4 linked regions of the Saccharomyces cerevisiae S288C genome follow. The gene in region 1 interacts genetically with each later gene. Each region holds a gene or a part of one and is shown on either strand. Other genes may lie near its edges. The genes, in order: SEC23, SED4, RNA14 and SEC31.

Region 1 (5,401 bases):
TACCACCGTTGGTCCCATTTCAAGCAATAGGAGCATTATAGAAGTTACTACTAGAAAAGATGAAGAAGATGAAAAAAAAACATATGAACGAATCAAGACCAAGAACTGCTATAGGCCACTGAACGAAGTTTTAAGCACAGCAACATTAAAGGAAAAAATGACGCAAAGACAGTTAAAAAGAGTCACTAGTATCTTGCCGTTAACCCTGTCCTTATTGCAATATGGTCTCAACCAAAAGGGCAAGGCCATAAGCTTTGAACAAATGAAAAGAGATGCGGCCGTATGGTGTGAAAATCTGGGTGTACCAGCAACAGTGGTAAAGGACGATTACATACAACAGTTTATCAAACAGAAAGGTATCGAGTTTGCTCCTGTCGCGGCCATTATAGGGGGTGCTGTAGCGCAGGATGTCATTAACATTCTAGGTAAAAGGCTATCTCCATTAAATAATTTCATTGTTTTTGATGGTATTACATTAGACATGCCACTTTTTGAGTTTTAGATATATACATACCTACTATACTGTAGTTTCAGCCAAAAAAAATAATAAAAAAAGCATAATTGGAGGCAGTAAAGCATTATAGTCATACACAATAATAATAATAATAATAATAATAATAATAATAATAATAGTAGTAGTAGTAATGGTAATAAAAAAGTTAGAAAAGAAATTAGATACAGATATTCGTAGTAAAGGCCACGCAGTACAAAAAAGACGGAGAATATATTATATAAAATCCTCTACTCTTTTCGTTCAGGTCCAAAGGAAAATTCTTGCACGCGCAATGGACTGAACAGGCCTTATATTATACAAAAAGCCTAATAACGATCAAATAAAACAAAAGAAAGCCGTTGCTCCTATGCCTGACCAGAGACGGCTACTTGTTGTAAGTGAGTCATGAAATTTTGTAAGGAAACATCATCTGTTAAGACAATTGTAGATCCTCCGCGCGCCATGTCTTGATAGTTATCGGAAGGATTCAATTTAGATAACAAGAATCTGGCTTGAGAACCACCGGCTTCAGTATCAATGAATCTTGGTAGCGGGAACCTATCTACTAACAATTCTGCGGCTTCTAATTTTGGCTCTTCAAGAAGAGCTTTGAAATCTGCGTACTGTGGATCGTCTTGGTAACCGGCTTTTCTCCATTGAGCGATTTGCTCACCGTGGTATATTAAGATGAAGAAAAATGTATCTAATAATAGAATGGTATTGGGTTTGACGGAGATAGAGTCTAATAATACCGGTTGTGGATCGTCCTCCATTGAGAAAGAAGTTAGAGTTGGTTGAATCATGATTAAAGAATTAGTCGTATCCTCTCTTGTGAAAATATGTCTATAAAATGCAGTTTCATCCGGAGAATTGTTAAAGACACTTAAGAATTGGGATCTTCTTAAATAATAGGTAAATTGAGGATACAGTGAGAAATTTGGAGCCAACCTGAAAGATTGAGGATCATCTTTATTATAGTCGGCGTACTTTTGACATAGCTTAATCAAAGTTCTGTCTAACCATCTAATAACATCTGCACCATCATCGGTTTCAGCCTTGTGAACAGCAATACGAGCCATCAAAACGGCAGCAGCTTCTTGATCGAAAGAAGCTGCAATGGCAGGAGTACCGAAGGGCAAAAGCTGGTTTGCGACCGTGGTGACTCTGATACGGTTGGTACCAGAGGAGTGTTGATAAGTAGTGATGAATTGAGTATATGCTAGATGAGGTCTATCTGCTGAACCAGGGGCAGACATCATTGGGTTAGAATTAGCCGCAGTGTTTGCAATTTCAAAGAAAATCGCATACGAGTGATAAGGCGATAAGGAAGCCATCTTCCAGGTGGACGTTGCACCTATACCGATTTCAGATTCACTGATGTTGTTAGCGTCTGTCTTCTTTACAGCAGAAGCATGCCCAATCAAACCTTGTACCTTCAAGTCTTTACTTGTCTTGACTGCCATATTACCATTGAAAGCCATCTTCAAATACCCTTCTTCATCCTTGGCAAACAATCTCAAGTATGATTGCTTAAAAATCGCGGTAGAGAAGGCATCGGTTAGCAACAACACACCTCCAGTAGAGTCGGTCAACTGTTTCATTTCAGACATACCGATTTGATCGTAACAACCGGCAAAAATATCAACAGTGTGTCCATTGGCGGCAACTCTTTGTGCAATCTGGTTGTAAAACTTACAGGCCTTCTTGTAATGTTGCGCGTGATCAGAATCGATGTCGTGGTGGGATCTTAAGGGATCTTTTAACTCTGAGTTAACAATCAAACCTGGGGCCACGGTGCCTGGACCGGAGGCGAAAAGAATGATTCTTGCTGGGATGTTCTTATAGCAGCCCTGTAAAAGCAAAGATGCAATGTTCAAAGCGGAACCTGTGGCCCTTAATGGCCTATGACCCGCTGGAACAGACCATTGGTCTGGAGACAGATTTTCCAGTAATTGATTCAGTTTGAACTCGACCTGTTCCAAGGGCAGGAAGAACCTATTCAAAGAGAAGGGCGTAACTTTGTTCATGGCGTTCGGTAGATGAGATGCAGCACCGCCGGGGCCGGTAGGCTTTTGGCCGGTCAACATTTCCGTCAACGCTTCGAGCTGGTACTCCCTGTCTCCTCTGAACACGTTGCACCTGTCAATAGTTTCGCTGGACAGATCGTGCAATTGAACAACGTTTCCGTAAGTGATCAACCCAATCAGCGCGTTGGGAGGTAATAGAGACAAAGAAGTGATGATAGACTCCTTTAGCGAATCGAGGTTCTCGGTTTCCGAAGTCAAATCCACAACAAAGAAGAAAATGGGAGGAACGGTAACGGGCTTATTGGTGATGTACTCAATGGTGGTGGACTGTAACTCTAGCGGCATATTCTCCTGTGACAAGTTGGTGTACTGTGGAGGTAAATGGTTCCTGGAGTTACAGATGGGACAACTCCAGGACGAATTGCGCGGATCAATCACACAGTAAGGATTTAGAATCGACTTACAGTGTGGACCGGAACACACAACTGGATTGTATGGGGCAACGTTCAATTCGTCATACTCCTTCAAAGGTGTGTACAAACAGCCCACAGGGACGACGTTGCTGTTAGCGTCGCTTCTAGTAGAGGGAAACACGTTCCAGGTGAAACGGACCCCGTTGATGTCTTCATTAGTCTCGAAGTCCATGGCTAGAAAAGAGGAAGGGGAGGCAGGCGACAGACAGATAAACACTGGCTTCAGTTAATTGTGTGTCTTGCTGAACGTGGAAAGATCACAACAAGTATCTTTTTTTCTTTTTTCAAACGTGTTTTTCTTTTATTCTTGCTAGAACTTTCCTCCTTTGTAACAAACGAGAGGCGGCGGGCTAGTCGTCGCAAGCGACAAATCTCAACTGACAGTAAATAACGGTGATAAAACAAAATTAGCGCAATCTCTCAAACTACTGAGGACAACCAACTTGAATTGCACTCTTCCAAGTTGTAGCATGGCTTGGGGGGTGTGTGATCCCATCCTGTATTATGGCAAAGCAGGCAAAACAACCGCTCTGCCGTCCGGGTAACTTTTCTTGTTCCACCTCTTTTCCCCAACATATATGAACATGAGATGGTAAGAGCAAGAAACAACGGTTCTATGAGCAACGCAAAAACAGCACAGCACACACAGCACCGCGTACTATACCACACCACACACTACGTCACAACACAACAAGACAATGAGCGAGAGCAGTGATATCAGCGCGATGCAGCCGGTGAACCCGAAGCCGTTCCTCAAAGGCCTGGTCAACCATCGTGTAGGCGTCAAGCTTAAGTTCAACAGCACCGAATATAGAGGTACGCTCGTGTCCACGGACAACTACTTTAACCTGCAGCTGAACGAAGCAGAAGAGTTTGTTGCGGGTGTCTCGCACGGCACCCTGGGCGAGATATTCATCCGCTGCAATAACGTGCTGTACATCAGGGAGCTGCCGAACTAAGACGACTGTGCTCATCTCCCTTACATACCAGTATATTTACATACGCCCTCTACTGTAATACAATATCATTCTATAGCACTCGCATCGCGTATTTTTTTTTTATTTTCTTGCTTTATATTGTTCTATTTTTCTTCCTTATTCCTGCCTCTGGATTTCCCTCGCATGACAAATAGCGTGGAAAAATAAAGGATTTCCAGTATTTGAAAAATTTTCAGTATTCTTACGTGTTCCTAACTCATATAGACCGCTATTGTAATAACGCTATCGCTTCAATTACACACAAACATACACGCACCCACAATGAGCATCGAATACTCTGTTATCGTTCCCGCTTACCATGAAAAGCTGAACATCAAACCCTTAACAACCAGATTGTTTGCCGGCATGAGCCCTGAAATGGCCAAGAAGACCGAGTTGATCTTTGTCGATGACAACTCACAGGATGGCTCCGTTGAGGAGGTGGACGCCCTAGCTCACCAAGGCTACAACGTCCGCATCATCGTCAGGACAAATGAACGTGGTCTATCCTCCGCCGTGCTTAAGGGTTTCTACGAGGCCAAGGGTCAGTACCTGGTATGCATGGACGCAGACCTACAACACCCTCCAGAGACCGTGCCCAAGTTGTTCGAGTCTTTGCACGATCACGCCTTTACTCTGGGCACCAGATATGCCCCAGGTGTCGGCATTGACAAGGACTGGCCTATGTACAGACGCGTCATTTCCTCCACTGCTAGAATGATGGCCAGACCTTTGACCATCGCCTCCGACCCCATGAGCGGGTTCTTCGGTCTACAAAAGAAGTACCTCGAAAACTGCAACCCTAGGGACATCAACTCGCAAGGTTTCAAGATTGCCCTCGAGCTTCTCGCCAAGCTTCCTCTTCCAAGAGACCCTAGAGTGGCGATCGGCGAAGTGCCATTCACTTTCGGCGTGAGAACGGAAGGTGAATCCAAACTGTCAGGTAAAGTCATTATCCAATACTTGCAACAACTTAAGGAGCTCTACGTCTTCAAGTTTGGCGCCAATAACCTTATCCTTTTCATTACTTTCTGGTCCATTCTGTTCTTCTACGTTTGCTACCAGCTATACCATTTGGTCTTTTAAAGGAAGTGAATGGTAACGAAAAAAAAAAATCTTTCTTTATATGTCTCTTTAAGTACTCCCTTTCAGTTATATGCCTTTTATTGTCTGTCCCTATTCTAATCCTCTACTCGGGCCATCATTGTTAACGTAATATTTGCCCTAGGGTAAAAACATTAGGTTGATTAGGCCATAACTCATTCTGCCCCACCCCCACACATAGGGTTCAGGAACTTGGTTTTCAACCCTACTGCATTGTTTCCCACGCGGCGCTACCAAAATATATCCAATTTTCTTTTTTGTCACAACAGCAGCAACCCCTTGAAATGGCCAATTCTTCTCGAGACTTTGCTCCCTTAATCTTTTCTT
Region 2 (6,481 bases), on another chromosome or scaffold:
ATTCTAATTTTTGTGATTCTCTAGAACCTGTTGATGAAGCTGAACTAAAAAGACAGTTGTTAAGCTGGGATGTTTCACACAATAAAACCCCCCAAAATAGTAGCAACAAGGGTGGAATTTCTAAATTAATGATAATGAAGAGTAATGGGAAATCTTCTTCATATAGGAAATTACTTGAAAATTTCAAAAACGATAAATTTAATAGGAAAGGATGGATGGTTATGTTTCGGAAGGATTTTGCTAGGCTTATCAGGGAAGCAAAAATGAAAATAAAAACAGGTTCATCGGACAGTTCAGGTTCAGTGGGACATTCTAATGATGGAGATGGTGTTGAAAAAGTTCAAAGTGACCAGGGAACCGAGGATCAGCAAATGGAGAAGGATCAGGACACTGTTATCAACGAAGATAGAGTTGCTGGTGAAAGAAATTTGCCTAACGAAGATTCAACTGATGCTGACTTATCAAGAGAATTAATGGACTTGAATGAATATAGTAAAGACCCACCCGGTAACAATTAAGGTGTGTATATGTAATCAGGCCTGTTTGTTAGCTTGTGCACATTTGTTAATTAATAATTTATTTAAAAATGGGCAAAATATAAATGCATAAAAGATGACATAGAGATATGTGCACAAAGCTATGTAATCATATTTAACATTAATATATATTATTTCGTTATTCACAATTCGTCATGAAGGCCAGCGTAGTTTACGGTTCCTGCTACTGCATTATCATCGTTGACAATGTTTGTATTCGAATTATTATTCAAAGGTGCTGCAATTGTTTGCGGAGGGGCCACTGGATTAGGCAAAGAAGTGATCTCCACGTTAAGTGCTGAAATAACTTCACTAGATAGAGAGACGTCTTCGGTAACATCTACCGTACCAGATGCCTGCATTTCCGTCGTAAGCATTCGGGAAACAGGAGTATTTACATTTTCGCTGATTTTGTGGCGTACCCCAAACGCTTCAGATGAATCTTTTGATGACTGTACTTCTATCATTATTTCTTTCTGTACAAATCCTGATGCATCAATTGAACTAGCAGATATTTTGTGAGGGCTACTTACAAAAGATGGTGCTGTTGTGGTTACACCTGGCATCGGCTGAGCTACTGTGCTTGACGCGCTCTCCACGGATAAAGTTCCCTTGCCTATATCAGACAGAGCGCCAATTGAAGCACCACTACTACTAAAGATCATAGATGCCATAGAAGTCCCTTCAATATTTGTGGATTCTGATAGGGAAGATTGACCAACACTCGTCTTAGGTGATTGTACAGCATCAGTGAAAACACTAGTGGGTTCCGAACTGTCAGCCAAAACACTAGTGGGTTCCGAATTGTCAGCCAAAACACTAGTGGGTTCCAAATTGTCAGCCAACACACTGGTGTATTCCGAATTATCAATCAAGGCACTGGAGCGTTCTGAATCCTCGGTAGAGAAAGCAATTACTCTCGAAGTCTTCGTTTCTGTTTTTGAGAATGAGCTAGTTGCCGTCTCCACAATAGCTGATGAAACAGGTTCAGAGATGGAATGAAATTTAGAAAAAGTGGAATCTGAGATTGAAGGGATTGATTCAGAAGCAAGAACAGAAGAAGTTACAGTCGATACTTCTATTGACTGGAAGCCAGAGGTTATAGATGAATCAGAAAATGTACTCGGATGCGAGGAAATAGAGTCCTGGGATGCTGATGTTGACAAAATTTCTTCATTTGGGATCAAATTAGACGCAACTGAGTCAAATTCGGATGCTATAGAAATAGAATGCGTAGGTGTTTCAACCATACGCTCTAATTCTGATGCTATGGGATCAATTTCGGAGACGGGCGAAGAAACCATAGTGTCTGTGGGCGTCAACAACATTGAAGAAGATGTTGTAACATACTGCTCGGCTTCTGCATTGGAATCTGATGCAGGTATATTCCTATACTCAATTTTTGTAATGACTTCAGTGATTATTTTTGTCTTATAAATCTCTCTCGTGGATGCCGGTTTTGAGTTGTCTAGAAAAGATGTGTTGGCTGCATCATTGGTGGGGTTTGTTTGTGTGGTGGTAACCGCAGTCGCGGTACTTGTGGATAATGCTGTAGTAGGGCTAGTTGTTAACGATGAGGAAAGAGATAATGAAGATGAAGATGAAGACGGCATGTGTGATAGCGAAGGTGATTCAGTACTTAAGAGTTTTGAAACGCTTTCTCTATCTGTTGTTATTTCGCTTTCTGATTGTTCTACTATTAACGAGGACAATTTCTCCTCCAAGTCAGGAGTCGGCTCAGGATATTCTGTGATAGAATTTGAAGATGAGGATAACAAATCTATCGACTCTGAATTCAGTGGAAGCGATGGTTTTTCGACAATATTCGGTTCTGTAGGAGAGGCTAGCGGCTTCGTAATTTCAGAGGTAGGTGAAGACACAATTGGTTCATTAGTGACACTCTCTTCATAGAAAGAAGAAGAAGAAGAAGAAGAAGAAGAAGAAGCTGATGTTGGGATATCTGCAGAAGTGAATTGTGAATCAGCTGATGACGATATCCAAACAAATTTTTGCTCATCTTCTGTGGTGGTTCTCATAGTGCTAGTGTCAAATGAGGAAAATTCAGTCTCTATATCGCTAGCAACATCTGTAGCGCTGATGATATCTGCACTTTCAGTAATGCCTCTGTAATCGTCATTAATAGTGAAATAAGAAGAAGATCCTTGGTCTATGGTAGTGTTTTCCTTGAATTTCGACTTATATATATCATGAGCATGTTTGTAAATAAAGCCGTGCACATTATGTTTGTAGCCTAGTTGAATAGCGCCAGCCAAAACCACTAACAAAACAAAATTCAAGAAAAATTTCCAAATATTTCGTAAAATTGATGACGATGTACCGGAAAGCTTCAGAACGTTGATCGTGTTCCCCATAGAAGTGCTTGCCAAATATCTAGAATCTGGAGAAAAAGTAACTTTTGTTATAGTAGATTCATGTACTCTTGGAACCAACTGAACAAGCTTTAGCTTTTCAACGCTGACGATGGCAACCAAGTTATCGTTAGATGATAATGCAACGAACTTCTTATTTGGGGAGACATCCATCGATGTTATTCCATTCAAATCGAACATGAAGGATGCTGTTTTTAAAATTTTAACACCTTTGGAACTCACACCTAGTTTTAACAAGGAAACTCCATCAGAGTTCGATAATGATGCTGCCACTAATAGCGTATTGTCATTGAGAAACCTGATATTAGAAAGAACAAGATTTTTATCAAAATCCGTTTTCCTTGCTACAAAATTTCCGTCCCTAACAGACGCTACTTCCAAAGAATTAGAAGTGATATATGACAAAAGAATACCGTTAGGGGCGAAGTGCAAATCATTAACTTCCCTACCCGTTTCAATTTCGTAATTTTCCGTCAAATTACGCGGGTCAATGATTCTTATCACAGTGGGCACTTCAGAGGACGCAATTGCAGCTACTGTGGCCCTTTGATTAATGTAAACAAACTTAGTGAAAACGGATGGGTCTGTAGTTCTGTTGAAATCAATACTGGCCACGAATTTTAGATGTTCTTGTTCAAACACAAACTTCCTCAAGTGGTGGTTAACGTTCTCCATGGAGGAATCATTAAACAGTTCATTGCAACCAACTAGAATCAGGTTATTATTACAATCCAATGAAGTGGGCGCATCGTCAATCGAATCTAATGTGATCTCACGAAACCTTCTAATGTGTTTCTTTTTCTGGAAGTTCACCTTTAAAGCTGTAATTTTGTTTGGAAACGAGGAATTGAACTGGCCTCCACCACCAGCCACCAGTAGAGTGCCTTCATTTATAAATTTAGCACCATATATCGGATATCCGACGTCATAGTTTGCAGAGTTGCCACTCATTATTATGCTAGTTTTTCTAAGTTTAAAAGGAGAGAAAAAAAAGGAAGAGAGGACGTATCGTAGGGAATTGTGATGCTTGTTGACAAACAGCCTCCGTCGATCGAAGCAGCTATAAGCGTAGGTTACTTGAAGCGTTCACAGTTCTCATTTACACTGTACAATTCTCGAGATATAAATGAAAATTACTACAACCAAGAAAAAAGGACAGGAGGGCTAAAAGGATAATAAAATAGGGCAGTTACAAATGTGGTCAAAAATACTAGGGCTCAAAATTGCTAAGTAAGGGCTTGACAGATGTAACATAATACGAAATAAACTGGATATCGTTTAATAATTATCAAGGTGATTTAAATCGTAAATACATAGGCTGGGCCATATACACTAACATGTGTCGTGACCAATGTGCAGCAGATAGACTTGCTCATTAAATATATTCCAGGTAGGATTCTCTAAGGGTTTTTTTTTTTCTCTATAGCTGTCACTTTTTTTTTTTTCTCTTATCAATCACAGATATAATAAGCATAACATCGGAAAGAAAATAATGATAGGGCAAAAGGGAAAGCATTTCCAGTTGAATACAGTATCTCTACTATATTGTTGTTCGCTGAAGACAGCCGTTTCCGGAAAAAAGTGATTGTGTGATCGCAGTTACCCGCACCTTTGTTCAACAGTACATAATAAGAATCTGTAGATATAGATGAACTTTCTCTATTACATAAGACTAGCCTAAAAGCCTTGTTTCTATCATTTAAAGGCTTTTGAGACACTCAAATCAGTGTCAACCTTTTGGATAAGTCAAAGAAAGTACGCCGCTGCTCAGAAAATTGTTATCGTGATTGAGAACTGATCTAGGCATTACAATTAAAGGAAACAAGGGAAATATTCTATTGAATGTTGCATAAAAGCCCTTCAAGAAAGAGATTTGCTTCTCCTTTGCATCTAGGATGCATTCTAACGCTTACAGTGCTCTGCCTTATTGCTTACTACTTTGCTTTACCGGATTATTTATCGGTAGGGAAGAGCTCATCCAGGGGTGCCATGGATCAAAAATCTGATGGAACCTTTAGACTTAAGTCTATCTACAGGCATGGCGTCGGAGCAAACCATCGGCTACACCAGAGGCTGGAGGTCACTCCAGAAGTTATTTCTGCCGCTGGAATGCTGTATCAAGAAACCACAACTCAAGGACAGGATTTCGAAGACCAAGAACCCCTATGGACTACTAATGCCGAATATGCCACCACTAACCCATTCGATTTTGAGTTTGAGCTACGAAGGATGCCGCTATTGATGAAGCGGATGAAGGAAAGAGATCCTGAATTCATAGAGTCGTACATTTACGGAGAAACATACATGACGGAGGAGGAAGAACACGCCATGTGGATAGATGATGACATTGTGGCACCCAATATCACAGATAGAGGTACAGTAGTGTCGTTAGCATTAATGTCGTCTAATGCTTACGTGAGAATACCGCAAACGGGAGACTGGCGTAACGTCACGGAGCCGTGGAATGAAACAGAGCCGGAAGATTTTGGTTGGGATGGTGATGGTATACGTGGTCACGTCTTTTACAATGAAGTGGAGAATATCGTGGTACTCTCGATAAAGGGAACCAGCGCTCAGGGTTTGCCAGGGTCTGGCGAAGATGAGACAACTGGAAACGACAAGATCAACGATAATTTGTTATTTTCGTGTTGTTGTGCAAGAGTGAGCTACCTGTGGACTACCGTGTGCGATTGCTATGTGAAGTCGTATATATGCGATGAGTCTTGCCTGGAAAAGGAACTGAGACGTAAGGATAGATTTTACTCTGCAGTCGTTGACATATACAAAGGCGTCCTCAAAGAATACCCCGATGCGGCCATATGGGTCACAGGCCACTCACTGGGAGGCGCATTGGCCAGTTTACTGGGCCGCACTTTTGGATTGCCTGCGGTCGCATTCGAGTCCCCTGGAGAGCTACTACCTTCAAAAAGACTTCACTTACCATTCCCACCGGGACTTCCCTCATACATGGAGGGTATCTGGCACTTCGGTCACAACGCAGACCCAATCTTCATGGGTACATGCAACGGAGCTAGTTCAAGTTGCTCACTGGTGGGCTACGCTATGGAAACCGCGTGCCACACTGGTAGAGTCTGTGTCTACGATGTGGTCAACGACAAGGGCTGGAGTGTAAACATGTTCAACCACAGAATCCACAAAGTCATTGACGAAGTTCTCCTTGGATACGAGCAGGCTGCCAAGTGCGTTGAACCAGAGCCCTGCGTAGATTGCTACAACTGGAAGTTTATTCCAAGCAGAGACTGGGAATCCTCATCGAGGCTCATTACCAAGACTAAAAGCCACGCTGCACCAACCACGACGACTCGCACCACTGCTACTACTACCTCTTCATCTACCTGTGTAGGCCGCAATTGGCTTGGCTTCTGCACCAAATACGAGTTGTAAGACCCATACATCTATTATGACCCTAGTGTTGTTTTAGGGCCTATGCGCCCTTTTTTTCTTCCATTGTCTGATAAATAATGTATCATTTTGACAACTTAAAGGTTCAGCTAAACGACACGAGAAGATATATTAATACTGCTTTAAAGTGAA
Region 3 (4,892 bases), on another chromosome or scaffold:
AAATTAACGAAGACTCTAAAGATTTTGAACAAGTAAAATTGCAGGTCACAGAATTTGCTCAGCGCTTGGCCCAGTTAGTCGTTCGCGATGGTGAAGGTTCGACAAAGTTTGTTACTGTTAACGTTAAAAATGCTTTGCATTTTGAAGACGCCAAAATAATTGCTGAATCAATCTCAAACTCTATGTTGGTCAAAACCGCACTATATGGGCAAGATGCCAATTGGGGAAGAATATTGTGCGCGATCGGGTATGCAAAGCTGAATGACTTAAAATCTCTAGATGTCAACAAAATTAATGTTAGCTTTATTGCTACCGACAATTCAGAACCTCGTGAGCTGAAGCTTGTCGCTAATGGTGTGCCACAATTGGAGATCGATGAAACAAGGGCTTCTGAAATATTGGCTTTGAATGATTTGGAAGTGTCTGTCGACTTGGGAACCGGTGATCAGGCAGCACAATTTTGGACTTGTGATTTATCACATGAATATGTAACAATTAACGGTGATTACCGTTCATAAATTCATGTATATTTTGTTCAATCTTTCTTTTATAAGCATGGTTATATAAACGCACAGAAACAGAGTGTTTCCTGTACCTTCTGAATGAGTTTGGCTATTGCCATATTTTTGAAAGAATTAACTATTTCCGTTTTTATTTATGTACGAGGCACCTTAACTATCCTGTCACATCGTTTTTTTTTTACTTAATTACATACAGAGGTTCGCCTATTATAATAGATGTGTTGGTATAAATATTCATATATACCTATTTATTAACGTAATGTTAACCTGACTTGGTGCTCTCAACTGTTGGAATCTCTACTTGATCATTTAAAAAATTCACCAATTTCTGCGCATCGAGTAAATTTGTATTAAAATATTGACGTTTTGGTATAACGCTCAATAAATCAAGAACCTCTGTTGGAAGCTCTGAGTCTCTTTTGAATTTCTTATTGGAGAAGTTTCCATTGTTTCCAGTTTCCTCCATTAGTCTCTTTCTATCTGACGAACTCATATTGTAAGAGCCATGATGGCCATCCCCGTTTCCAGAAGAAAAGTAACTGTCTTCTTCCTCATTATACATATAAGTTAACTCTAATTTCTTTATTAAGTTGGAGTTTTGAATTTGATAACGACTTGTGAAAACTTCAATCAAATTTTCTTGGGGGAACCGTTCGAAAAATCTTTTCTCTAGAGAATAAACGTTGTTTAAGTTACCGAATTTCGATTCATAACTTATCATTTTCTTGTATATTTCCTTCAGCTGGGTTAAATCTTGCACTTTTTCCACTGATGTTTCAAATAAGGTTTTGATCTGCGAATCCTTATTTAAAAATATTAAAAAATCTAAGTATTTGTTGATATAAACTCCATCGTTTTGGAAGTATTTTAAACCCAATTCTAAAACCTTAAAAGCAGTCTTATAATCGTTTTGATTTTGAAATTCTAAATATGCATTTTCCACGTAGACGTCATGTGTTAATATACGCTTCAGTTTACGACATTTACCAAATACAGTACGTGCTGCGGATAGTCCTGATATTCTTTTCATCGTATTCATATACACGCAAAACACGAATGTTAATTTTTCCCTCTGTTTGTATAGCAGCTCTTGTTCATACTCTGTGTTATTATCTTCACCCGAATTTACATCGGAGGCGATCTTTTTATACTGCGATAGTAAAGTTTGAGTGCACTTGTCAAAACAGTTAGAAACACTTTCAGAATCATTATCCAGTTCGTAGCATTCGGATAACTTGAATGTAAGAGAAGGTGAGTCGGGATTAGCTAATAACGCAGTATATAAGATATTTTGTCGATCCGAATTTTCAGATATATACATTGAATAATCGTACCACATTTCAGCAGAAAATATCATGTATTGAATACCTTGTTTATAAACGTAACTGATTCTTTGTGATAGCATATCTTCACTAAGCATCAACTTATTCTCCCTTTCCCATTTTATCCAATTCAACCAAATCTGTAACTGCTGAATGTTTGAGTCTGAGGTACCTGGTTGTGGTATGTTTTTCTTGTTTGCTGTGCGCAGATTAATTGGAGATGCCCTTTTCAATCCATTAGTAACGTTCAACCATTCCTGGTATAAGGAACGGGCTTTCATGTATTCGGCTGATAACTCGCCAATAAATTTTCTGGCTGTTAGGGAATTTATTTCTTGTTCCCATTGAGTGTATCTATTCCACATTTTTTCTAGATTATCAAAAGGAACACATAGCATTTTCTTGTAGAATTCTCTGAGCATGTCAATTCGCTGTTGCTCCTCCCATTTGTTGAATGGCTTCCACTGCTCTAAAAAATTGAGATATTCGTTCCAAAAAGAAGATGATTTGGGTTCAAAAATTGCACACTTTTGCATAACTAGTTGGAATGCCTTGACAATAACAGCTCTCGCCTCTTGTCCACCAGTAATTAAGTTGTTTTTTCTGCGTATGTAGTCCAAATATGTTGACCAAAGAGATAGGTCATTATTTTCCAACTTGCCAGAAAGACATTGAGCCAAAATCTTCTCAACAGTCTCAAATTCATCTCTTGCCAATTCACCCTTTAGTTGCAAAGTCCACGCAGGTGAATAAAACGGGAATGTGTTATGAAATTGCTCGTATACTTCTCTCACCTTAGCGTATGACTCTTGAGTTTCCAAATATTGAATAAGCTGGAAGTATGATAAAATATTCGTGGGATTGTCTTTAATCCTTTCTCTAAGTCGTAGTTCATCTCCATGTATATTGTCACTAGGCTCTGCGACTTTGTCCGCAGAGGGATATAGTAAATCAGGAGTCGTAGAGCTGGACATATCTCTTGTTTGACTCTCCAGTTTGGCCTTTTATTTCGTTGTAGAATACTCTTTCATCACACAAGCTACACTTTTCTTCTTAATTATTACAAGGTAACCGACAATTTTGTCACGATTGTTATCATTTTAAACGAAGTGGGAAATGTAATAAGAAATAAGCTATTTAGAATGGCTACTATTTAATGCTGGAATTTGTATTTTTCAAATAAACGCAAAGCAAGGCTATTATCGAGTCAGTAATGGTTAAAGGTAGTGTGCATTTATGGGGAAAGGATGGCAAAGCATCGTTGATTTCAGTGGACAGCATTGCGCTTGTATGGTTTATCAAGTTATGTACTTCAGAAGAGGCAAAGAGTATGGTTGCGGGATTGCAGATCGTATTCTCAAACAATACAGACCTATCATCAGATGGAAAACTACCAGTGTTAATTTTAGATAATGGAACGAAAGTATCTGGTTACGTGAACATCGTACAATTCTTACATAAAAATATATGTACTAGCAAATATGAGAAAGGTACGGATTATGAAGAAGATTTAGCAATTGTTAGAAAAAAGGATCGCCTTTTAGAGTATTCCCTATTGAATTATGTTGACGTTGAAATTTCCAGACTAACGGACTACCAGCTCTTTTTGAACACCAAAAATTACAATGAATATACCAAGAAGTTGTTTTCAAAATTGCTATATTTTCCTATGTGGTATAATACGCCATTGCAACTAAGATCGCAAGCACGTGAAAATTGTGAGGAGATTATAGGCTCACTGACCCTTGAGGATGATGAAGAATTTGTAGAAAGTAAAGCAATGGAGTCAGCCTCGCAACTAGCACAATCAAAGACCTTCAAAATTGCGCATAAGAACAAAATTAAGGGTAAGCAAGAGCTACAACAGGTGAAATATAATCTTCAATTTGATAATAGACTACAGAGTTGCGTCAGCAATTGGTTGGCTGCCCGTAAAAAACTGGATGATTCTGTAATACTTTCCTCCGACCTTCTTTTCCTTGCAAATCTTTACGTTCAGTTAGGCCTACCTGATGGTAACCGCATCCGTTCAAAACTGGAACAAACCTTTGGAAGTGAATTATTGAATAGTATGTCGAACAAAATTGATGACTTCGTCCATAGACCAAGTAATAACTTGGAGCAAAGAGATCCTCAATTTAGAGAGCAAGGAAACGTTGTGATGTCATTATATAATTTAGCCTGTAAATACATATAATAAAAATAAACAAAATAATGCAGAAAGGTGTCTTTAAGTTCATTTTTCAATTTCTTTTCGGTTTTCGTACTCCTTTATAAACGAAGTAATAAACAATTGTACCATCATCGTTAATTATGGCCAGCAGTATTCTTTCAGTAGATGGACTACATAAGTGAGTAAATGTCTGGCTCAAGCATTCCAAAGTGAGAAAATTCTCTTTGTACTGTGACATATTGATGGGTAATATGAACTCTAGCGGGCGTGGCGATGACAAGCTATTTTCATGCTCTGTGTCTACATCGTTGCTCAGCTTGTGAGGCGGACGACCTCTCAGTAATCTCAGGCTATTTCCCTTCCATGATAAATCGTCTTGTAAAATTTCCACTTCCGTCCACATTTGGAAATAGAGTAAATTATTTTTTACTAGAGATATGATATCTGTCGTTGCCATTCTTATTTTCCTCAACCTCCTCGACGTAATTTCTCTTCGACAATTTATTATATCTTTCATATATTTCTGATGACTTTTTCATTTTCACTTTTTTTCAACCCATAACGGCTTTTTGTTCAAAAGAAACTGATCATGTCATCGATTAAAAGTAAAAGTATGCACATCAGCCTCGTGACAGATGAGGATCTCATGTCAAAAACCGCCAAGAAGCATGCATTATTGAATTTGAAACGTGGTAGATTATTAAGTATATGTCTATGTAATATTAAGTAAGACAAGGGCATTCACTTTACATGCAAATGCATTTGGAACCCTTGACCGAAAAAAAAAAAACAGGTTAACCGCAAAATACATGATCTTCCTTTATTAGAAGAACCGTTTGGCTTTAGTTAAAAATTGATGCTTTTCAGTGGAATGAC
Region 4 (7,049 bases), on another chromosome or scaffold:
CGATACGAAGATGCGTCGTTTCTTGCGTGTGTCCCTTGCGACACTGCACTTGACACGAGCAAGCCCCAGGTAATGGCCCATTGGTAAGTAGAAATAATAGCACCTCTTAATGATTTATGTGTAGCTTCTGCTTGGTATAATGGAACAACCGCTGAAATTGCGCCTATACCGATACCTGAAATGACCCTTCCCACAATCAATAATGTGATTCCTCCAGCACCTACCTGTAAAGAATTTCCGATAGAGAAGATGAAAATTGTACTGAAAATGATAGTAGGCTTCCTGCCATACGAATCAGATATAAATGGTGCAGTTAAAGCCCCAAAAAAAGTTCCCAATGACAAAAATGACACCAAAATGGACATTTGTTGGGCGGTAAATGAATCGTGATTAGGTGCTACGTGTGACTTCACATAGTTCATAGATGTAATACTGTTGATCAGACCTGTATCATAACCAAATAAAAATCCGCCAACTGCAACAAAAACACCTACGCATATAGACATCATCATAGATTGTTTCTGAGGAGGCTCTGAAAATAAAATTGAGTTGTCGTCTATGGTAGAAATGTCATCCGTAAACACGGATGTCATATTAGATTGCCTGTCAGAATTTTGCCGCTGCAAGCTCGTAGGGGTTCGTATGCTACCTGTCGTATCATCTGTTGTATGATCTTTGTTACTATTGTTTCGTCGCAGTGCTATGCCCTTCACCCTCTGAAGAGCTTTGTCTAGGAAACCCTGTTTCTCTTGGCGTAATGTTTCGCTAGAACTGTTACTATTAGGATCCATTTATAAATTCTTCTTTCTATGCCAACAAAGGCATATCCTTCTGTTTAAAAAGGTCCTCAGTAAAACTTTTCTGTTTTAATTTCTATAGTGAGGTCAACTTATAGTGACTCTCTCTGTTTTTCTTCAATAAAATGCTTCTTATCTGTCCTATGATCTCTCGATGTGTAAGTACTATCAATGCAATTTGCCGAGGATAGGACTATTGTCTAGTTTTTCTCAGTATGACTGAATTTCCCCAGATTATAGAATAATTGACAGTTCCTCCTCCTTTTGTTCTTTAGAATGTGCGATGCGGCAAGTTTAAAATTTCCCCGGAGATTTGCCGCTCGAGGTGTACATGGTAAAAACATAAGGGAAAGGCTGTAAAAAAGATATAAGAGGTATTGGTTGGTTTTGAGAAGTAATGTTAAGCTAGTTCTAATTGTGATCTTGATTAGGTTTAAACATAAAAGGATAAGTACATAAATATATAAATATAATACTATAAGACATAATAAGAAAAAAACAAGGCCAATACGCCACTTTTTGTACTGAAAGTTTTGAGACTGAATTAATTCAAAGTCGCTTCAGCTATGCCAATCAACCTCTTCACTCCTGTCAGCCAGTTACCACCCTCTTGAGCATGGTTTGTAGCGATATTAGCATGGATGACCATAGCTTCTTTGTATTTCTTTTCCTTCATTAATGCGACGAGGTCATGTAAACAATCGATTGTTGGTTGGGTTAATAAATCCTGCTTTTCCAAATGGTAGAAAAGAATCTTTAATCGTTTATCACAATCCTTTAATTGTTTGGAGTACTCCTTTGGGGTCAATGGTGTTACGCGAGCCAGTTCTTCTTTCAAGAAGTCGACAATGGGTTGTTGATCAGCTGGAATTTCATGACTGACATTCTCAGCGGAGGTATTAACCTGAGAAGCCAAAGTTGGCGGTTGAGAAGGCTGCAATGGAGAGGCCGAGCTGGAAAGGGTTGGAGGATAAGTAGCACCTTGAGATGGGTTTTGTTCTATACTAGCTAACTTGTTGCTTCTCTTCTTCATGCTAATCGGAGGGGGGCCAGTGGGAGGTTTGTTAAAAACGGGAGGAGGAGAGGTCATGGTATGGTTATTAGTATACGGACCGGTTGGAGGATAGGAGGAACCGTTGGGTTGAGTGGTTGCAGTTGGAGCATATGGATTAGAGGCCTTTGGCAACGGAGCTGGAGGCACGCCTCCAGATAATGGGGTTGCTACTCTTTGTTGTGGTGGTGGAGCATAGGGGTTCGATGAAGCTACCTGAGCGGTGTTTGACGTTTGGTTTGCTGTAGAAATAGTACCTATTGGGAATTGTTGTGATGATTGAGGAGGAGCGTATGGATTTGATATGGATGCCCTTGGTGACTCAGAAGTTGCAACCAAGGATGGGACTCTAGAATTTTTGTGTAGAGGAGGTGGTGATACCATTGACACAGAAGAGGGAGCTCTGGAAAGAGGTGGCGGAGGCATGGTACTAGCAGCATTTGCAGGGATACCATTTAATGGAGTTGGTGTCGATAGGATATTTGGAGGGGCAACAGATACAGCCTTGGCACGAGATGGTTTTTCTTTGACCTTCAAAGGCAAATCATTCCAACCATCATTGGCTTTACGGTTGAGATGTGGCGTTTGACCCGATACAGCATTAATTGGAGGTTGTGAAGGAATAGAGCTAGATTGAGCATTATAGTCGCCCATAATAGGCATACCAGGTTGTATAGGAGCAAAAGTGTTTTGCGGAATCGACGTTGTAGATACGTTCGTTGCAGGAACTGTTGCAGTGGCATATGGGTTAGGCGGAGGAGCAAAAGAATTCAATCTGGTCGAGCTATTTGTTTTGTTAACAAAAGGTGACGCCATCGAAGGTTGGCTTGGTGGCGCATATTTACCTTCTGTATGAACAGGAGCACTAGTGGTGGTTGCTGGAACGTACGGCTTTGGAGGTAGAGCATTTGCAGAGGCGCCTGGTGTCATACCATAAAATGGTGCCTGCATACTAGGAATAGAAGTAGTAGAAGGCATTCCAGGAGTTGGTAGTACAGGAACGTTCTTATTTGTCTTGGCGTTTGTATACTTGGCTTTGCTGGTCGTCGCTGTCGCAGGATTTTGTGCCGGTAATGATTTGCCGGAAGCAATCAAGACACGTGCCTTTTCTGTTTTAACCTCTTCATTGTCACTTGGTAAACTATTTAAGAATTCAGTGGCTAGTTCGAAATTTCCTGTGGAAGTAGTTAAGTTGATAAATTCCAAAAATTTGGCAATTAATTGCTCATTATTAATGGTAGAGCTTCCATTAATGAAGTTGGAAAATACGGTGAATCTTTCAATGAACTCAGTTAGACATTCGGAATGAGCTTCATAAATTGTCTTATTATCTTTCTTCAATTTATCCTCCAAATCTGGAAATTCTGATAACCAAATTGAAGCCACCTTATCTAATGATCCGGCAGCCAAGTACAAAGTCAAAGAATCTTGTCTATGACCATTTTCCTTTAACCTGTCTCCCAATTTAATCAACATTTCATTCCTCTGGGCGATATCATTTGGATATAAGTTTTGAATTGCTTTAGAGATAAACTTCCACTGAGAGACATCCAAATTTTCAACCAAATCATCTACTTCCCTCTTAGAAATGGAGTATAGTATCCTCGAGAGCGATGATTTAGATCCATACTTCGCAAAATAGGCATTCTTGACACTTTCCTTTAATCTTTCGTTATTTGAATCTAATGCGATCACCATGGCCTCCATTAGTAAGTCATTCTCTAGAGAATTTTTCACAGCGCTCTTAATGTTGCCAGAAACCAAGTTCTTGGAAATAGTTTGTTCGATATTACCAGACAAGGAGAAATCGCCCTCGGGTTGGAAATTGGTTTCAATTTGTTGAAAGAATTCTTCCCCATCGTCTTCTTTCTCATTGTTGGCATCGTCTTGTGCATCTGATTCATCGTTGTCGAATGCAAGAGCCTCTTTCAAGAACTCCTCAGTACCGTCCATTGATAACTTTTCCAATAAATTCCAATCTTCTTCATTAACGTCATCAATAACTTTGACCAGTCTTTGATTTATTAATGGTTTGAAATCCTTAGTTTTCAACGCTTCACTCAAAGTAGTGTTTGATTCTAAGCCTGAAATTTTTGGGTTTGTTATAGATACACCTTTACCATCTGGAGTAATTTGAACCAATTTACCACCGAAAGCCCAATGAGCTGCGGGAGATGGTTCCCCATACCAAGTTGGGGCTTGTAAATGGAAAACAGTTGGCTTCTCTTTTGATTCCTCTCGGGAAACATTATTCCAAAAATCTGTTTCAGATTCTTGCTGCTTAGTTTCGGTTTCTTGCTCATCCAAAGTGTTTGTGAGATTTTGCAAAGTCTGTACCTCAATTTTGTTATCAAAGGAGGCACAAGCAAATAGGTCTGGAGCCTCTGGTGCAAATTTGGTCTTAAAACACCAGTTTCCACGAGCTGGGAATTGGGACAGTTGTTCGGCTGACTCAGGGTTCCATAGAAGAACGGTATTATCTCTACCACTGGACAATAATAGATGTTCGTCCTGATGACACCAATCTAATGACAAAATACCCTTTTGATGGCCTTGATTTAAAGTCTGCAATGGTGTGTTGGCGTTTCTTAAATCCCAGATCAGGATAGATGGATCATTATCGCTACCAGTAGCCGTTGCCACTCTTGTGGAGTTTTTTGGGTGCCATTCAACAACGGACAGCTGTTGCTTGATACCTGAATTAGGTGAAGTGTAACTTAGATGAATGACTTCCTTCTTAGCCTTCAAATCCCAAATAGATGCGAAATTAGACGACCCGGCAGATGCAAAAACATGGGCCAAAGATTGGTTCCATGCTAGGGAAATGACCTCGTCAACGGACGACATCGATTGACCCGGTGTCAATGGAGTATAATTGGAGGGCGATTCAGTGCATTTATTCATGTCCCAAATAAAAATTTCACCGTTGTTACCACCCGAAGCAAGAACGTTGTCTTGCTTTGCGTTAAACTTTACCGTCTTCACAGAGGAAGAATGGTTGCTAAATCTGGCCATGGAGTTGATAGCGTTGTTTGCTTCATTGGTGGAGTACAATTCCAAACTACCGTTATCCAGAGCACCAGCAATAATCTTGTTATTATGAGACCAATCCAAATCATTGAATTTGGAATCCACTTGCAAGGAAGCAATAGGCTTCTCCGAATCAGCAGCCAACAATGACCACAATTCTAGAGATGAATCAGTGGAGAAATTAGCATCCACCGTACCAGATACGGTACCAGAGACCAATAATGGAATTTTATCATGTGACCACGCAAACGTGGCTGTTCGAGAAAACTCAGCAAGTTTGACCATCTTTATTGTTCAATTAGGGAGAGCAAACGGGAACAAAGGGAAATATGTGTGAGTAAAGTGTCTATCGCAGAAGCTTGCCTTGTCCTAATGTTCTACACCTACAGTAGCGAAATAGTGCTGGTTCGTGACGTGTAAATTCAGAATGCAACCCGACTACAGGAATAGAGGAATGGATCTGACACGACTTGTTTGTTCTTTTCACTTTTCGTTCTCGGGCGGATTGATCGTGTATGGTGATTTTTCACGCTGAAGGGGTAGAACCAGAAGGGGATGGAAGGGGATAGATGAAAAAAAAAAAAATCTATGAAGTAGTAGCAAGATAGGCCAGATCTCCAGTCAATTGATGAGTGTGGTATTAGGCAGAAGCAGAGGACGGTGAAGAAGCATATCACATAATTCTCCACCAATTCTAAACGCACAGTTGCACCTTTTTTGGAAGACAATCTTTTCCTTGACTCGGAGGGCATATAACTTTGTATATTGTAAATTATGAAACCAACTACCAAGGCAGGTATGTTGCATAGCAATGGAGAAGATCTTCTGCGATGCTAGTATTAGCAAAGATGTAAAAGCGCTTTTCATGTCTTTAGGAGCGACGCGACGCGTGAGTAACATATCTATCCATAGGACAAATAAATAAACACCGGGGACGATTTTTGCACACAGCTTCGATCAGTGGAGAAAGGAGGGAAAAAGGCCAAGACTGAGTGCTTATGCCAAAAAATCGTGGTGTCTTGGATGCCATCACTCGCAGTGTGATAGATGGTAGTGATCAGGAGTCGAGCTCATCTTTCAACTCGGACAAGGAATATGCGGCTGTGACGAAGGGCCTCAGCAGCTCAAGAGTACAAAAGAAGTCATCTTTAAGGCAGATGAAAAGCAAAGTCAAGGAGCTTCAATCTTTAGTGAATCATTACCGAGAAAATGAAGCCGCTTTAGTGTCTAGCGCCAAGTTATTGTCCGGCGAGATCATAGGCTATGAAATTAAGATGGCTAGTTTACATGGAAAAATGAAAAGTATCCTGGATGAGAACAACGCGTTAAAGGAAACGCACAAGAGCTCTGCTGAAAAGAGAATCGAACTTGTTCGACTTCCCTCTAGCAAAGAAGAACGCAACTACGATGAATACACTTTGCTTGTTAATCTCAAGAAGGAAATCTGCGCCAAGTTACAGGACTACAAAAACGTCCAGAACACGGTGAACACCAAGTTAGATGAGATTCACACGTTCCATGAAAAATACTACGAAGGACTAGAACTAAGTTTAGACAGCAAGGTGTTTGATGCAGAAAGCTCAAAAGAGCTGGCCAAAGTGAGGCGAGAACTGAATAACGTGAGAAAAAATTCCGAAATCAAAGTGAATAACTTGAAAATGCAACTGCTACAAGCAACCAAATCACTGGAGCACTTGAAGAAGCAGGCTAAAGCAAAGGATGACTATCTTAAATGTATTCCTGAGCTGGTCGACAAAGCCAATCTCACGATGTTATCCTACAAGAAAAGCATCGCTAACCAGAGGGAGACTATCGAAGCATTACAAGCAGAACTATCGCAACAATCAGAAACAAAGGGGCAAATAGAAACAGAAACACAAAATCAAGTACAAATCCCCACCAATGTGACTTTGGTGGACCCCTTTGAGGAAAACAATCCAGAGGATTTGTTCGCTATCCAGGAACAGGAATTGCAAGATCTAAGGTTGCATAAGAAAATGGCCGATGAGAGGAGCCGAACTACCCACTTGCATTTAGAAAGAAAAAATAATACCATCAAGCTACTGCAGAGTTACGTGCAATCATTAATTCAACGGCTACCACCAGCCCAGCGCAAACACCATTTGGGCATATTCCAAAAACTTGGTAGCGAAAAATCGTGTCCACTCGCC

What was found.
Region 2: mutations in SEC23 (region 1) and SED4 impair growth when combined (synthetic growth defect), as found in Saccharomyces cerevisiae (4 studies listed by BioGRID, with this or other methods).
Region 3: mutations in SEC23 (region 1) and RNA14 together harm fitness more than expected from each alone (negative genetic interaction), as found in Saccharomyces cerevisiae (2 studies listed by BioGRID).
Region 4: mutations in SEC23 (region 1) and SEC31 together harm fitness more than expected from each alone (negative genetic interaction), as found in Saccharomyces cerevisiae (3 studies listed by BioGRID, with this or other methods).

The regions. Positions count from the first base shown.
Region 1 is NC_001148.4:896,503-901,903, forward strand, and holds SEC23 (GTPase-activating protein SEC23), read right to left. Parts: upstream 3,166-5,401; coding exon 859-3,165; downstream 1-858. Other genes in the region: E1 ubiquitin-activating protein AOS1, read left to right, coding at 1-502; mRNA splicing protein SMX3, read left to right, coding at 3,692-3,952; DPM1 (dolichyl-phosphate beta-D-mannosyltransferase), read left to right, coding at 4,253-5,056. UniProt on the Saccharomyces cerevisiae protein: Component of the coat protein complex II (COPII) which promotes the formation of transport vesicles from the endoplasmic reticulum (ER).
Region 2 is NC_001135.5:232,446-238,926, forward strand, and holds SED4 (GTPase-activating protein SED4), read right to left. Parts: upstream 3,878-6,481; coding exon 680-3,877; downstream 1-679. Other genes in the region: E3 ubiquitin-protein ligase RAD18, read left to right, coding at 1-518; triglyceride lipase ATG15, read left to right, coding at 4,769-6,331. UniProt on the Saccharomyces cerevisiae protein: Putative guanine nucleotide-exchange factor (GEF) involved in the formation or budding of transport vesicles from the ER. Positive regulator of SAR1 probably through inhibition of the GTPase activation by SEC23.
Region 3 is NC_001145.3:390,680-395,571, reverse strand, and holds RNA14 (cleavage polyadenylation factor subunit RNA14), read right to left. Parts: upstream 2,818-4,892; coding exon 784-2,817; downstream 1-783. Other genes in the region: ARG7 (glutamate N-acetyltransferase), read left to right, coding at 1-518; SAM complex subunit SAM37, read left to right, coding at 3,057-4,040; SEN15 (Sen15p), read right to left, coding at 4,087-4,473; ferroxidase FET3, read right to left, coding at 4,840-4,892. UniProt on the Saccharomyces cerevisiae protein: Component of the cleavage factor IA (CFIA) complex, which is involved in the endonucleolytic cleavage during polyadenylation-dependent pre-mRNA 3'-end formation and cooperates with the cleavage factor NAB4/CFIB and the cleavage and polyadenylation factor (CPF) complex.
Region 4 is NC_001136.10:105,322-112,370, reverse strand, and holds SEC31 (Sec31p), read right to left. Parts: upstream 5,164-7,049; coding exon 1,342-5,163; downstream 1-1,341. Other genes in the region: SNF3 (glucose sensor), read right to left, coding at 1-791; ASF2 (Asf2p), read left to right, coding at 5,877-7,049. UniProt on the Saccharomyces cerevisiae protein: Component of the coat protein complex II (COPII) which promotes the formation of transport vesicles from the endoplasmic reticulum (ER).